2 linked regions of the Rattus norvegicus genome follow. The protein of the gene in region 1 purifies or fractionates together with the protein of each later gene. This does not show direct contact. Links are inferred from orthologs where the notes say so. Each region holds a gene or a part of one and is shown on either strand. Other genes may lie near its edges.

Region 1 (6,131 bases):
AATCTTGTCCATGTTACTTCCTCCCTGGAACTCCCAGGTCTCACCCACACAGTCAGGGGCTCTCTGTGCCGGTCTTCTCTTTGATACCTCTGACTCTTGTTGCTTCCTGCTTATAGAGTTCCCGTGTTCGCCTGTGCCTCTGTGTCCATCCGTCTCTAAAACACATCTTAATTATGGTCACTTATCTGCCCTTGACCTCAGGCTACCTCATCTCCCTTTCACGTAATTGTCTTCAGCCTTCCTCCTTTGCACTTCCTGGATGCCAGCCACCCCGGGGCCAGCCTCCCTTAGCCTCTGTATAGGATGTAGGATGGTGGTCCCTGTCGGGCTTTGAGAAGAGCTAGTTTGGGTTCGAGCATCTGCCTATCTGTGTTTTCTGATCCTCATTTTCCAGTTCTAAAATGAGAAGGGGAATCTAGAAATTTGATAATGTGTATACAAAAGTTCTGAAAACCAAACACATCAATGGAGGTGTTACTGCTGCCTGTGGAGTAAGGTTGGAAACCTTAGCTCTGCCTCATTGCCCTCTCAAAGCCATGCCTTTCCTTGACTAGACTGCCTACTGTCCTCCTCACCTTTACTGAGACAGGCACGGCAGTGGGCTAAATTCTTGTTCTTTCTGTTGTGCCTTTTCTTTCTGTAGTAAAGGAGTTAAGAATGTGAAGTCTTTTTTTTTTTTATTTTTTTATATGCATGGGTGTTTTGCCTGTATCCGTGTCTGTGAACCACTTGCCTGTGGAGACTAGAAGAGGGCATCAAATAGCCTGGAACTGGAGTTAACCATGTTTGTGAGCTGCTGTGTAGGTGCCAGAAATTGAACCCAGGTCCTCTGGAAGAGTAGCTAGTGCGCCTAAATCTGAGCCAGCTCTCATGGGAATAGGAAGTCTTTGGTCTGTTTTTGCCTTTAGTTCTCCACAAACACCTACCTTCCTAAAGAGCTTCTTCACCAACCCCAGGCCCTTGCCCCAGCAGAAAGCTAGGATGAGGGAATTCTTCAGGGTCAGAACCATGAACTTCCCAACAGACAAGAGCCCCCTCAAGTGGGGAATAGCCACCTAGCCCTCTGAAGCTTCTCACAGGCAGACTTTGTTCTTTCTGTCTTCATTAGCCTGGAAGATCCCTTGAGGCAGGACCTGAATTATTTCTTCTCTCTGTATTTTTTTTTTTTTTTATCTGAGATCAAGTCTCACTATATAGTCCAGGCTGGTGGCCTAGTACTCCCCATATAGACCACACTGGCCTTGAACTCAGAGAGTTGGCTTCTGTTGGCTTCTGTCTGTTGTAACTCTGTTGTAGCTTTTCATCTAATCATTTCCTACACAAGGTCAGCATGACCTGTCTCCTTTCCCCCTTGCTTTTTAAAAGAACAGCCCCGAGACACTCCTGTGTCAGGCCTACAGAGCCAGGCTGATGCCATTGGGTACTTCAGGAGCTGCTTGCCCTGAGGTAGGCTGGAGAAGGCTCGCTGAGGATGACTGGGAGGGGAACAGAAACAGTGGTCAGCTGGTCAATAAGAAGAGAGGAGCTGGAGAAACTGGGCTGAGCAAGACAAAACCTCCCCTGTGAACCCTGCCAAGGGGAGGGGTGCCTTGTTAAAACTTACTGGGGTGTAGCCAGACCCCTGGTGGGAGGAGGTCTAAGGGGTGGAGGCTGAGTTGGGTGGAGGAGAGTGGAGGCAAGGAGGACGCTGGCGTTTAGCCAGGCCTCCCATAGGATAGCTAGGTCTTGCTTTCCATCTTCTGCAGTGCCCTCCTGCCCAGTCCCTTCCTGGTTCCACCCATCCATGCAGACCTTAGACTAGCTTCCCTAGCTTCACTAGGCCCTGTGGTGCATTCCTAGAGTTTGAAGGTGACAGCAATCAAGGCCTATGTCCCAGCTGTGGCCCCTAGAGCTTCCAGCTGATGTAATGTTTTGCATGTCAGGCAGTGGAAGTGGCAGGTAGGGGAGATCTTAGGGATATGAGGTCCTTTTAAAACTACGGGGTGGGGGGTTGGACTCCTTGGAATCAGAAGAGGAACTTGGAGCTTAGAGGTGGGAACCGTGAGCAGCAGCTTTGTTCAGGAGACCTGAGAACTGAGGGCTTAGGAGGTGACCAGCCGTGCTGGCATTGCTGGTGTTGCTGGTAGAAGTGTTTGTGTATGGGCATAAAGGCTCCTATTCCATAGTTTTCCCCTTCCAGTCCTGGACCCTGTGATAGCCTGCCCGGGTTGCTGAGAGATTAGGTTCCTGGGCATCTCATAGCCTCTGGGAGCCTAGCACATCCCTATCTCTAGGGAGAGGCAATTGGGTCTATGACTAAATGAGAGAACTACCGTGTTCCTGTCAAAGAGCCCTGAAGTCCCTTCCCTCTTCCCCTGGTAGGGTAGCTCTAACTGTCCTGCATCCTCACTTCCTCATTCCTGCATCCAGGAAGGTCATTTGGAACCAGCCCACTTCCCCATTTCTCTCGTCATCCACAAGTTAGAGCGAAGATTAGAAGAGACATTCCACGTTCCTGGAGATCTGAGGCCAGCAGCTCTAGCTCGGCTGCTCTCCATCTAAACTGAGAACCGCCAGATCTGGAGAGAAGGTCCCTGAGACTCCAAGGAGGGCGGGCAGTAACAGGCAGTGACAGCAGTAACAGGAGTGACAGCTGCCAATTACCAAGCTCAAGGTATCCTAGGAACTGCTCACACGCCTTGTCCTCATTTAGTAACAAGCATGGATCAAGTCCTTGCCGGTGTGCCAGGCACAGTCTAGGCCGTGGGACAGCAGTTCACAACAAAACCCCCCACCCTCAGGGAGCCCTATATATACTTGATTGTAGTCAAAAGGCAGAGAAGCAAGATGGATCCCTATTCCTTACAGGAACTGTTAGCATCTCCATCACCCAGTGAGCAAACTGAGACATAGAAAGAGGTGATGTCATTTGCCTCCGGCTCCAAAGCCTATGGTCCCAGTGAAGCAGAATGTGTTCCAGGAGACAGAAAGGCCACAGCAAGAAGCGGGCTGGATTATTACTGCCATGACAGAAGAGCCAGGCCCTGCCCAGCTCCTGACAGATCACCACACTTACGTCTGCCTGGGCTTGTCCTTCCAAAGACATCTGTGGCCACAGGGTATCTCTGGGGAGAGGCGTGCCTCTTAACTGGGGCCCCTTTTTGGAGCTCTATGTAAATTATAACGTAGCTGAAATTAGTCAGTGTTGATTTCCTCCTCATGTCTTCTAGATTCTGATGCTGTCTTGATCCTTTCTCCACCACCCTCTTCCCTCTCAGTGCCCCAGTACCTGTAAGTTTGGCATGGTGGTTAGCAAATAGGGCATATTTAAATTTTCGTTTGTACACAGATGTCCTCAGCTCTCATTAGGTATTAGAGAAGAAGGTTAAGTGCTTAGTACTCAGGTGAATCTGACCCCATCTCATAGGCATGCAGACATGTATACCCTACACCCAGCCACCTGAGCAGGTCATGGATGGGGCATGAGATGTGAGTGACAGGCCCTGAGACTGCAATGCAGCCCCCTTGTACAGAATGGTTTGAACTCAATTCCTATACCAGCCTGTGATGGAAGAGACCGTTCTCCGAGCACTCAACAGAGGAAGTAGCCACTCCACAGCATGGGGATGAGATCTGAGGAGTCCCCACTTCAGGAGAGGGAGCTGGATTGGGTTTTCAGGGAAGTCTAGGGTCGGGGGCGGGAGGGTAGGGAATCCTGTTGTTGCCTTACAGCCTGCCTGGTTTCTCCTATCCTCACAGGCCTTGCTTAAACATTCTCTATTCCGGGAGGTCTTTCTTGGCCACCGAACCACAGACCAGGTTCCTAGTGTCCTCTTACACACCAGTGCCTGCTTGTGTCCTTTTCTTAATTTTTTTGATTGCACTTATGTGCATGGAGGGGTACAAGCATGTGTGTACATGTGCGTATAGGGAAATCAGAAGACAGGTTATGGGAGTTTGTTTTCTTTGTCCACCATGTTTGTCCATCGAACTCAGATCGTTAGGTTTGGTGGCAAGGACCATTTCTGGATGAGGTACACTTCTGTCCCTTCTTCATAGCTTTTGCAGTAGTTAATGTGTGCATTTCTGGGTATTTACCCATTTAGCTGCCCTGTCTTTCCCGATGTGTACTCTATGAGGGTAGGTTGCGTCGCTTTTGTTCTCCTGTGACATGTGACATCACTTGGGCTCAATTCATTTGTTAACCGGTTTAATAAACACCGGGAGGCACAGGAGTGGGAAGAAAATGGGTTCAGAGAGACCTGCTTTGAATTTTGGTTCTGTCTTTCTAGCAGCGTGACATCTTTTTTTTTTTTTCTCGAGTTTCAGTTTACTGTGACTTGTGGCTTTAATAGCGATTGTAAAAGTTAAGAGAAACCATGAGTGAAATACAGTACAGTGGCTCAGTGTAAGGGGGAGGTTGCTACTGTTACTGTTCTGTTTTTTAAATACCTGCTTTGAAGGTTCCTGGGGAAATGTCACGTAGGCTGCCGCACTAGATGCATTCCCCATATGGTCTGCGGACCGTTTGGCTTCATGGCGACAGCCCTCACGATACGTTCTGGTGCTGTCTTACAGAGTATAAAGGAGGGGACCGAGAAACCTCGTGGAGCACGGACTGCAGACAAGGCTGGCTGGATCAAGAAGAGCAGTGGGGGGCTTCTGAGTTTGTGGAAAGACCGCTACTTGCTTCTCTGCCAAGCCCAGCTGCTGGTCTACGAGAATGAGGTGAGGACTTGCTTGGCTCTGAGAGCAGCAGTCAAGTGAGGCAGGCGGGCCAGCAGGAGCCCCTAAGACTGGGGCTGGAAGGCTCGCTCACCGTTGTTGTTTGTTTATTTGGTTGCTTGTGTGTTTGTTTTAAACAGGGTCTAACTATGGGTAGCCTTGGCTAACCTGGAACTTGCTCTGCAGACTAGGCTGACTGGCTACAAAACAGAGACTCACCTGCCTCTGTTTCCTGAGTGCTAGAATTAAAGGCGTGCACTACCACACTGGCCCCCACTTCACTGGCATGCTGTGCCACCCTGGGCAAGTGTCTCATCTCCTCTGGTCTCTATGTGTAGTAGTGGGGATGATACTTCTAGGGGCAAAGTTAGGGTTCCTGGGTAAGGGTTCTGTGCCAGCCATGTATAGCATTTGAGTCTCCTCAACTACTTACCTGTGTACTGGAACTTCCTGTTTTGGGCCAAGGTTTCATAGATGAAGTATGTGAGCAAACTGAAAGTGTTCCAATCAGCATTGGCACTAAACATACCAACTAACCCTCACAGAGACCCACTTGCTTCTGTCTCCTGAGTGCCAAGACTGAAGGTGTACACCACCATGATGGGGCCTATGTTACATTTTAAAGAAAGGATTGGTAAGGGTTGGGGGCAGGGAGGTGGGGATGGTGGTAGTGACTTCACCTTCTCACAGAGAGTGGAGGGCTTGATCTAGAGGTAAGCCCAATACTCTTTCCACCAAGAGACAGCAGCGAGTAAACTTCAAATTTTACTTTTGGTTGAAAAATTTTAAATGTTAATTACATAATGGGAGTGGTAATGCTCACCTTTAATCCCAGTACTTGCAGAGGCAGGAGGATATCTGTGATCAGAGTTTTTTATCCGACTTTGGAATTGCCAGAGTGCCTTCAGCTTTTCCCTTTTAATAAACAAGTGTTATTAAACACTTGTTTGTGCAAGAGTTCGTCTGTGAGTGCTCGTATGTGCCAAGGCACGTGTGTGGAGGTTGGAAGACAGCCTTGGGTATCAGTCCTCACCCTCTCCTTGTTTGGGGCAGGCTGTCTCTCTGTGTACTCGAGGCTGGCTGGACCACGAGCCTCCTGGGGGCTTTCCCATCTCGCTTCCCATCTCACAGTAGAAATGCTGGGTTTACGTGACCCTGTATCCTGCTTTCTATGTGGGTTCTGGGGCTGTGGACTCAGCATGTCAGGCAGTGTAGCCTGTGCTTTTCCTCGTCAAGCCGTCACCCCAGCCCCAGTCAACACTTCTGCTGTCCCCATGCCTCCCACAATCCTCACACCTTCCCACTTAGATTCTCGCCCCCCCTCCCACTTTCAACAGACTTTGGACAACTAAGAACAGTAAAATTGCCAATTTTACACCTATAATCCCAACACTCAGAAGGCTAAGACAGGAGGATTGCTCTGAGTT
Region 2 (6,131 bases), on another chromosome or scaffold:
TCCTCCTGCCTCACAGACTACAACGGCATTTCAAGCCGTTAGGCCTGGAGCCAGGGTAATTGTAGCTAGGGGAAAAATCATAACATTACCCAGAATATTCTTAGTGGAAGGGGCACTCAGAACACATTTAAGAGCTTAAATGGGGGCCATTTGAGAAAAGACAGATGGACAGGAATGCTTGGGTTTCAAAAGCCAGGGCTTTCATTTCCCCAGAAGGCTTCTTGTTTCAGCTAACAGGGTTCAAGCAGCGCGGCTGGCAGCGGCCTCACCATAAGGATCTTATTTAAGCAAACGATCAAACACAGGATGGAAATGTGTGGAGAAAATCAGAGGACCTTGAAGTTTCAGATCCAGAAGGGGAGAGGGGAGTCAAGCTTTCTCCTTACCCTCTGCTCCCCTGTGAGGCTCCCATCCCGAACCCCTCTGATGTCTGGGGAGCAGGGGTGGGGCCTAAGGGTACTCTGGAAGGACTGAAGCCCTTGAGGGAGGGGTGCACAAGCTGGAGTTCATGCTGTCCTTCCCTGCACTCCTGCACAGCAGCTTTCTTACCTGGAGCTTCAGGTTTAAAAACAAACAAAGCAGAACCAGTGGCTACTGAGTCTCAATGGTATCTTTCCCAGGAAAGCCCGAATGGAGCCAATGCCTCGTGAGGGCTTTCACTGTGGCCTGTGGCAGGCTTGCTTATCACCTTCACAGAAGTTTCCTCAAGGGCTGCCCCTGTGCACCTGCTGGGGACCTGCCTGGTGCCAGCTCTCAGACCTGCCATGCCACACCTGCCCAGTGGCCATTCCACATTCAGAGTCAGGACTTGTCCTTCTGCAGACAGCGACCATACCTCCCAGCTGTCATTCTGCTTCCAAGCTCCACCCATCTGTCCTCAGTCCCAGGCTCAGGCCCTGCCATTCCCTAACTAACCTCCACTGGAAGTAGAAGGGGCCACCACCACCGCCAGTTTTCCTTCTCTTAGTTTCAAACAAAGGATACCCCATACTTGCAGTGTGTGAGAGCATCAGCCTGGCCTTCAAGGCCCCTATTCTACAGGCCCTGCTGTGCCTCTGACCTTTCTTTTGCTGTCATAGCCTTCTGGACACCAGTGAGCTTACCTCCACCGAGGGCTGGGGACCCAGGAAGTTCCTAACTTGTGCAGACTCCACAACTCATTCTAGAGCACAGTTGTGACCAAGCCCCCACTGGCTATCCACCCTGCCTCTCTCTCTTGCTCTGTTCTCTGTAGCAATATGTTTGCAATCTGTATGACTGATGCTCGTGCCTAACATTAGTAGCCGTTTGCATTCCTCACAAAACAGACTCCAGAAAAGAGCTGTGAGCAGTACCTGCAACACAGGTAACACTCACGATGCTTCTGTATGCTGTGCTGGCTGAATGACCACTACAGTTTCTATTCTGTAGAAATGACAGAGATGACAAGGCACTGCCAAAGTCTCATTGCTCCCAGTAGGAACAGTGCTGGTTGAGAGTCCATACTGCTCTTCCTGGTCCCCTTCCCTGTTTCTCCAAAAAGAACCCTGGTAGTGTGGTCTCTAATAAGCCCAAACCCAGTGTGCTCATCCCCAGGAAGTCCTGCGGTGTTCTGGGATTCTCACACTGGGAAACTTGAAACAAATGATCCCAAGTGTGTTGGCACAGGTCTTTAATCCCAGAACCCGGGAGACAGAGGCATGAGGACTTCTATGCATTTGAGGCCAGTCTGGTCTACAAAGGGAGTTCCAGGCCAGCAAGGGATGGATATATAGTGGGACCATCTCAAAATAGATAGTTAGTCTATTAAAAACATCTAACCCAGGACCATGTCCTACACCATGTCATTCTGGAGTTGGACCACAGATTCTTCTAGGCTCCTCTAAGGCCCCCAGCCAGCTTTGAACTGACTGTCTGCATCACAGCACAGCTACTCATCAGCTACTAGACGTGTTTTCCTGGGTAGGGACCAATGTCAACTGGCCACATGGTGATGGCAAAGGAAAAGAGAAGGGAAGGAAGGAAGGACGCACCACCCTATCGGGGCAGCTGACCCTGAAACCACACGGCTCTTCCATTAGACTGTACGGCACCAAGACCTTCTTCTCTCTGATGCTCAAGGAAGGTACCCACACATGCCCGTTAGTGGGTCAGATGGACAGCTGAGAGGAGGAGAAAGAAGGACAAACAGATGTGTGGATGGGCTACCCATGCTGTGAGGTGAGCGCTACAATGTGGGAGCTCACCTATAGGAGTCCCCGTCTCTGTTGTAGTCACACAAAAGGTAGTCCTTGCCCACCACCTTGTCTCTGGCAATTTTCAGGGGCTGGTCAACAGAAGACAGGAGATCTTCACACAGACTGGGGACCTGGCAGAAAGAGAGGACATGGAGAAATGTCATTAAAATAACCCCCAATTCAGGACCAGGTTAACATCTGGCTTGTAGTGCCCTGCCAAAATTCGGAATCTGTCTGTTACTCTCCACATATGCCCAACACCAACCATGTTTCTCTATAAAGAAACCTGGCCATGAGATGTTGTGGAGCGTGACTTCCAACGCAGTCTTTCCAAAGCCGGGTGTGGCTTTAATTACCTGACCACCAGGGTGGTCTGTGAGTATGAGGATGTGTGTGCTGGGTATTGGTCTCTGGTGGACAAAATACCAGCTCAGGCTCTGAGAAGAAGGCAAACACTTCAAATACACAGGAATGTGAAGAACTCAAAGAATAACGGGGCTCTGGAGAACTCCCACAGGCTCCCATGCCGGCCGGGTGGAGTTTCCAGCTCTTTCCAGGCCTCAGGCCAAGCATTACCAGGCCGTTCCTAGCCGGCTGTGTCTGTTACAGAGGTGGATGTCCACACGCTTTCCACACAGAGCACAGTCCACTCACCTGTAGAGCGGAGGGCAAACAGCTTGGTGGCCCAGCTTGGTGGGCTGGAACAAGTCATAAGGTGCTGTCAATCAATTCCTACCACAGCCTTTGGGGGAGCAGACCAGGGCTGCCTCCTCCCAACACAAACATTGGTCTCCAGGAGGGGATCCTGGCAGAGTGGATGCTTTTCTGTTCGAGTCATTTCTACACTGTCTCCGCGTCCTGACTTTCTCATCTCAGAGCCTCATCATTTACCAGAAGAGGGGCTGCTAACAGAGGGGGCCATGCAGCTCAGATCACGTGTCCCTCCCAAAGGCCAGCACTACTAGGACAACCAGGCTCTGACGCTGCATGCTACCATCCACATCACAGTCCAGTGTACAAAGTGCTACCTGGCACTGAAGCACCTCTTGCTCCATGGGATGGTCCAACTCTTACACATACATCGGTCCCCAAGGAGAAGCATACACCTCCAGCCCAAGCATGGTGTGCTTGTCTTCAGAACCTGGTCCACATGCACCTGTGCACTCACCCAACCAACAGGCAAGGTCATTTCCAAAGTTAGCTTTGGCGACACCCCTCTCTGTTACCTCTAAATGCCTGTGGGACGTGAAGCCAGGTATCACAAAGTATGCTCTTGGCCTAAACGCTCAGACTAGGGCATGAAGTGGGTAACCAAGGACTTCTAGATTACAGAGCTGAGACCGAGTCATTAAAGCTGCCCAAGACTCACATCAACAGTCAGCAGGGAATACAGAAATCCAATCCTGGGCTAGGTGACTCCCAAGCTCCTTCAGCCTGTCACTCTGGTCCCTAAGGACAGTGAGCAGCAATGGTACCAAGCTCCTCCCAGCCCCCACTGCAGCTCAGTTATAGCTAGGTCCTCCACCTGGGACACCCTAGCTGGGTCTGAGGCACTTGCTGTATTTTTTTGGCCCAGTGAAATGACTCTGGCAGCTGTGTGCTACCCTTCGTGCTGTAGCCTGCCACCAAGGATCCATTCGAGCCACTGGGCTGCTACTGGGGTCTTCATGCAGTTGTCAAGTCCTCTTTGTGTGGACTCTATTGGCTGTCTGCTAATACTGGGTAGCAGTTCCAGCCCTCTGTACCTCAGTGCACCTTGCTGCTTCTGATGGCAGATGCTGAGGGATGCTTGGGAAGACAGAGCTCCTTCGCCAGCCAAGCTGGCAAGACAATGGGAGCTGCCAGGAGAGGCTCCATTTCTAGCTGGCACGGTTATGTACACTGGTAATCCTAGAAGCTTAGGAGGCTGAGAGAAGACAAAGATTTGAGTCCATGAGTTCCACATCACTGTGACCAGGCCTGGTGGCACAGTTCTGTAAGCCTAAATACTTGGAAGGCTGAGGCAGGAGGATCCTAAGACCAAAGACTGGCTGGGTTGTAGAGTGAGTTTCAAGCATACTCGAATACTTAAGACCTTGAGTTAAGAGGAACTAGACATCTGGGAAGATGATTTAGTGGTAGAGTGCTTGCCTGCTGTGCATGAGGTCCTCAGTTCAATTCTCAGAGTCTCAAGTAAGCAGCAAAAGGAACAAATAACCTCACACCACACTGAAGCCCAAGCCCAGCCTTCCACGGCAACGACAGGAAGACAGAACCAGGCAAACCACGGAGACGAGGCACCCTGAAGGGCTGACCCTGGACTGTGCAAGCCCACAAGTCCCTAGCAACCACAGAAGAACACACACTCAACTGAGCCCCACCGTGGCAGCACACCGTGGAAAGCTACAGAGATCTTGCAGGACACAGGATGTGCCTGAGAGCACACAAGTACCTAGGATGGGTCACGGCTGGCTGGCTCTGACTGCTCAGGTCCCTGAAAGACACGTTCTGAATGTGGGCCATACTTTTAAGTTCTGTTTGCATCAGTTCCTCTTCTGATCAAAGACAATCTGGTCTGGAGTAAGGACACTATGCTTGTCACTGGAAACAAGTACAGACTATACAGTATGGCAGCTGCCCCAGACGCTTGTGCGTGAGTGCGTGTGTGCGTGTGTGCATGTGTGTGTGTGTGCATGTGTGTGTGTGTGTCTGTGTACCATGTGTCAGTCCTGCTCTGTGTGTGTGTGTGTACCATGTATCAGTCCTGCTGTTTGTGTGTGTGTGTGTGTGTATACACACCATGTGTCAGTCCTGCCCCCCATCCTGCCCACCCTCCACCTTCCCAACACTGGCCTACTAGCTGTCTCTTCAACATGCTAGTTTGTATAAAAACCCTCCCCACTGAGAGTTGGTGGTACAGAAACTGTAGGCTGCTGAGTTAAATGTGAATTTCAGATTCACAAGGAAGACCATTCCAGTCTGACCATGCCTCGAATATTAATTACACAGGACAGCTCTTTATTTGTTCAATCTAAAACTCCACCACGTTTCCGATGTCTCCTTCAGCCCCACCCCAGACTCCCATTTCTCCCCAGGAGTCCCATGGACGGATGGCACAAGGACTGTGACTGCTCCTGAGCTGGCTATCCTAACACCACCAGCAGGGCCTATTCTTCCCTGCCTGTGTCCATCTCCCGGGTCAACGCTGTGCCCAGGGAGTCATGAGGGGACCCCCTAGGCAAGCACCATGTCCTGTCGGCTGCAGAGGGCTCTCAATCTAAGCTTGGGTCCCAGGGGAGTAGGCATAGGGTCTTTGCCTGAGCGCATACCAGAGAAAAGAGGCTGCTCAGGTCTGAGAGCCAATCAATCACTCCTGCCCCTGGCTGTGTCACTCTTCAGGGTGTCAGAATCCTGAGTTTGCAGCAATAAATGAGCGGAATGACCAGGTCCAGCCACCCAAGTCTACTTTGTGCATTTGGCTGCTCTCCGCACTGCCACAGGACCTACCCGCCATCATTAGCTTCTGTATAGAACGTCCATCTAACACCAACGGTGCTGGCTAAATCAGGCTGCTGAGGCTTCAAGTTAATTTCCAGTGACTTGGAATAGTAACGCTATACCACTGCTGGGACAGGCCCTGCCTTCACTCTGGACAGAGAGCTCAGAGGGAAGCCACTAGCCAAGCGGCAGGAACTACTATTCTCACCTGGGTTTGGGTTCAGTCCAAGCACAGCAAAGAAAGCTTTAACAAGAGACAGGACAGTGGCACATACCTGTAGTCAAACTAACCCAGGGGCTGAGACAGAAGGATCACATGACTCAATGATTGAGTTCAGGATCCACAGAGGCAACATAGAAAAACCAGACAACAGTGATGATAAACCATTAAAAAGACGACTGTCTTTCACTGTGGGATCCAGTCTATTAACTCCATCA

The links.
Region 2: the proteins of Plekho2 (region 1) and Capzb purify together in Homo sapiens (affinity purification with mass spectrometry; 3 studies listed by BioGRID and IntAct, counting the BioPlex papers as one, with this or other methods). This does not show direct contact. The link is inferred for Rattus norvegicus from reciprocal best matches to the Homo sapiens genes PLEKHO2 and CAPZB.

The regions. Positions count from the first base shown.
Region 1 is NC_086026.1:74,992,848-74,998,978, reverse strand, and holds part of Plekho2 (pleckstrin homology domain-containing family O member 2), read left to right. Parts: intron 1-4,557; coding exon 4,558-4,707; intron 4,708-6,131.
Region 2 is NC_086023.1:156,780,423-156,786,553, reverse strand, and holds part of Capzb (F-actin-capping protein subunit beta), read right to left. Parts: intron 2,348-6,131; coding exon 2,226-2,347; intron 1-2,225. UniProt on the Homo sapiens protein: F-actin-capping proteins bind in a Ca(2+)-independent manner to the fast growing ends of actin filaments (barbed end) thereby blocking the exchange of subunits at these ends.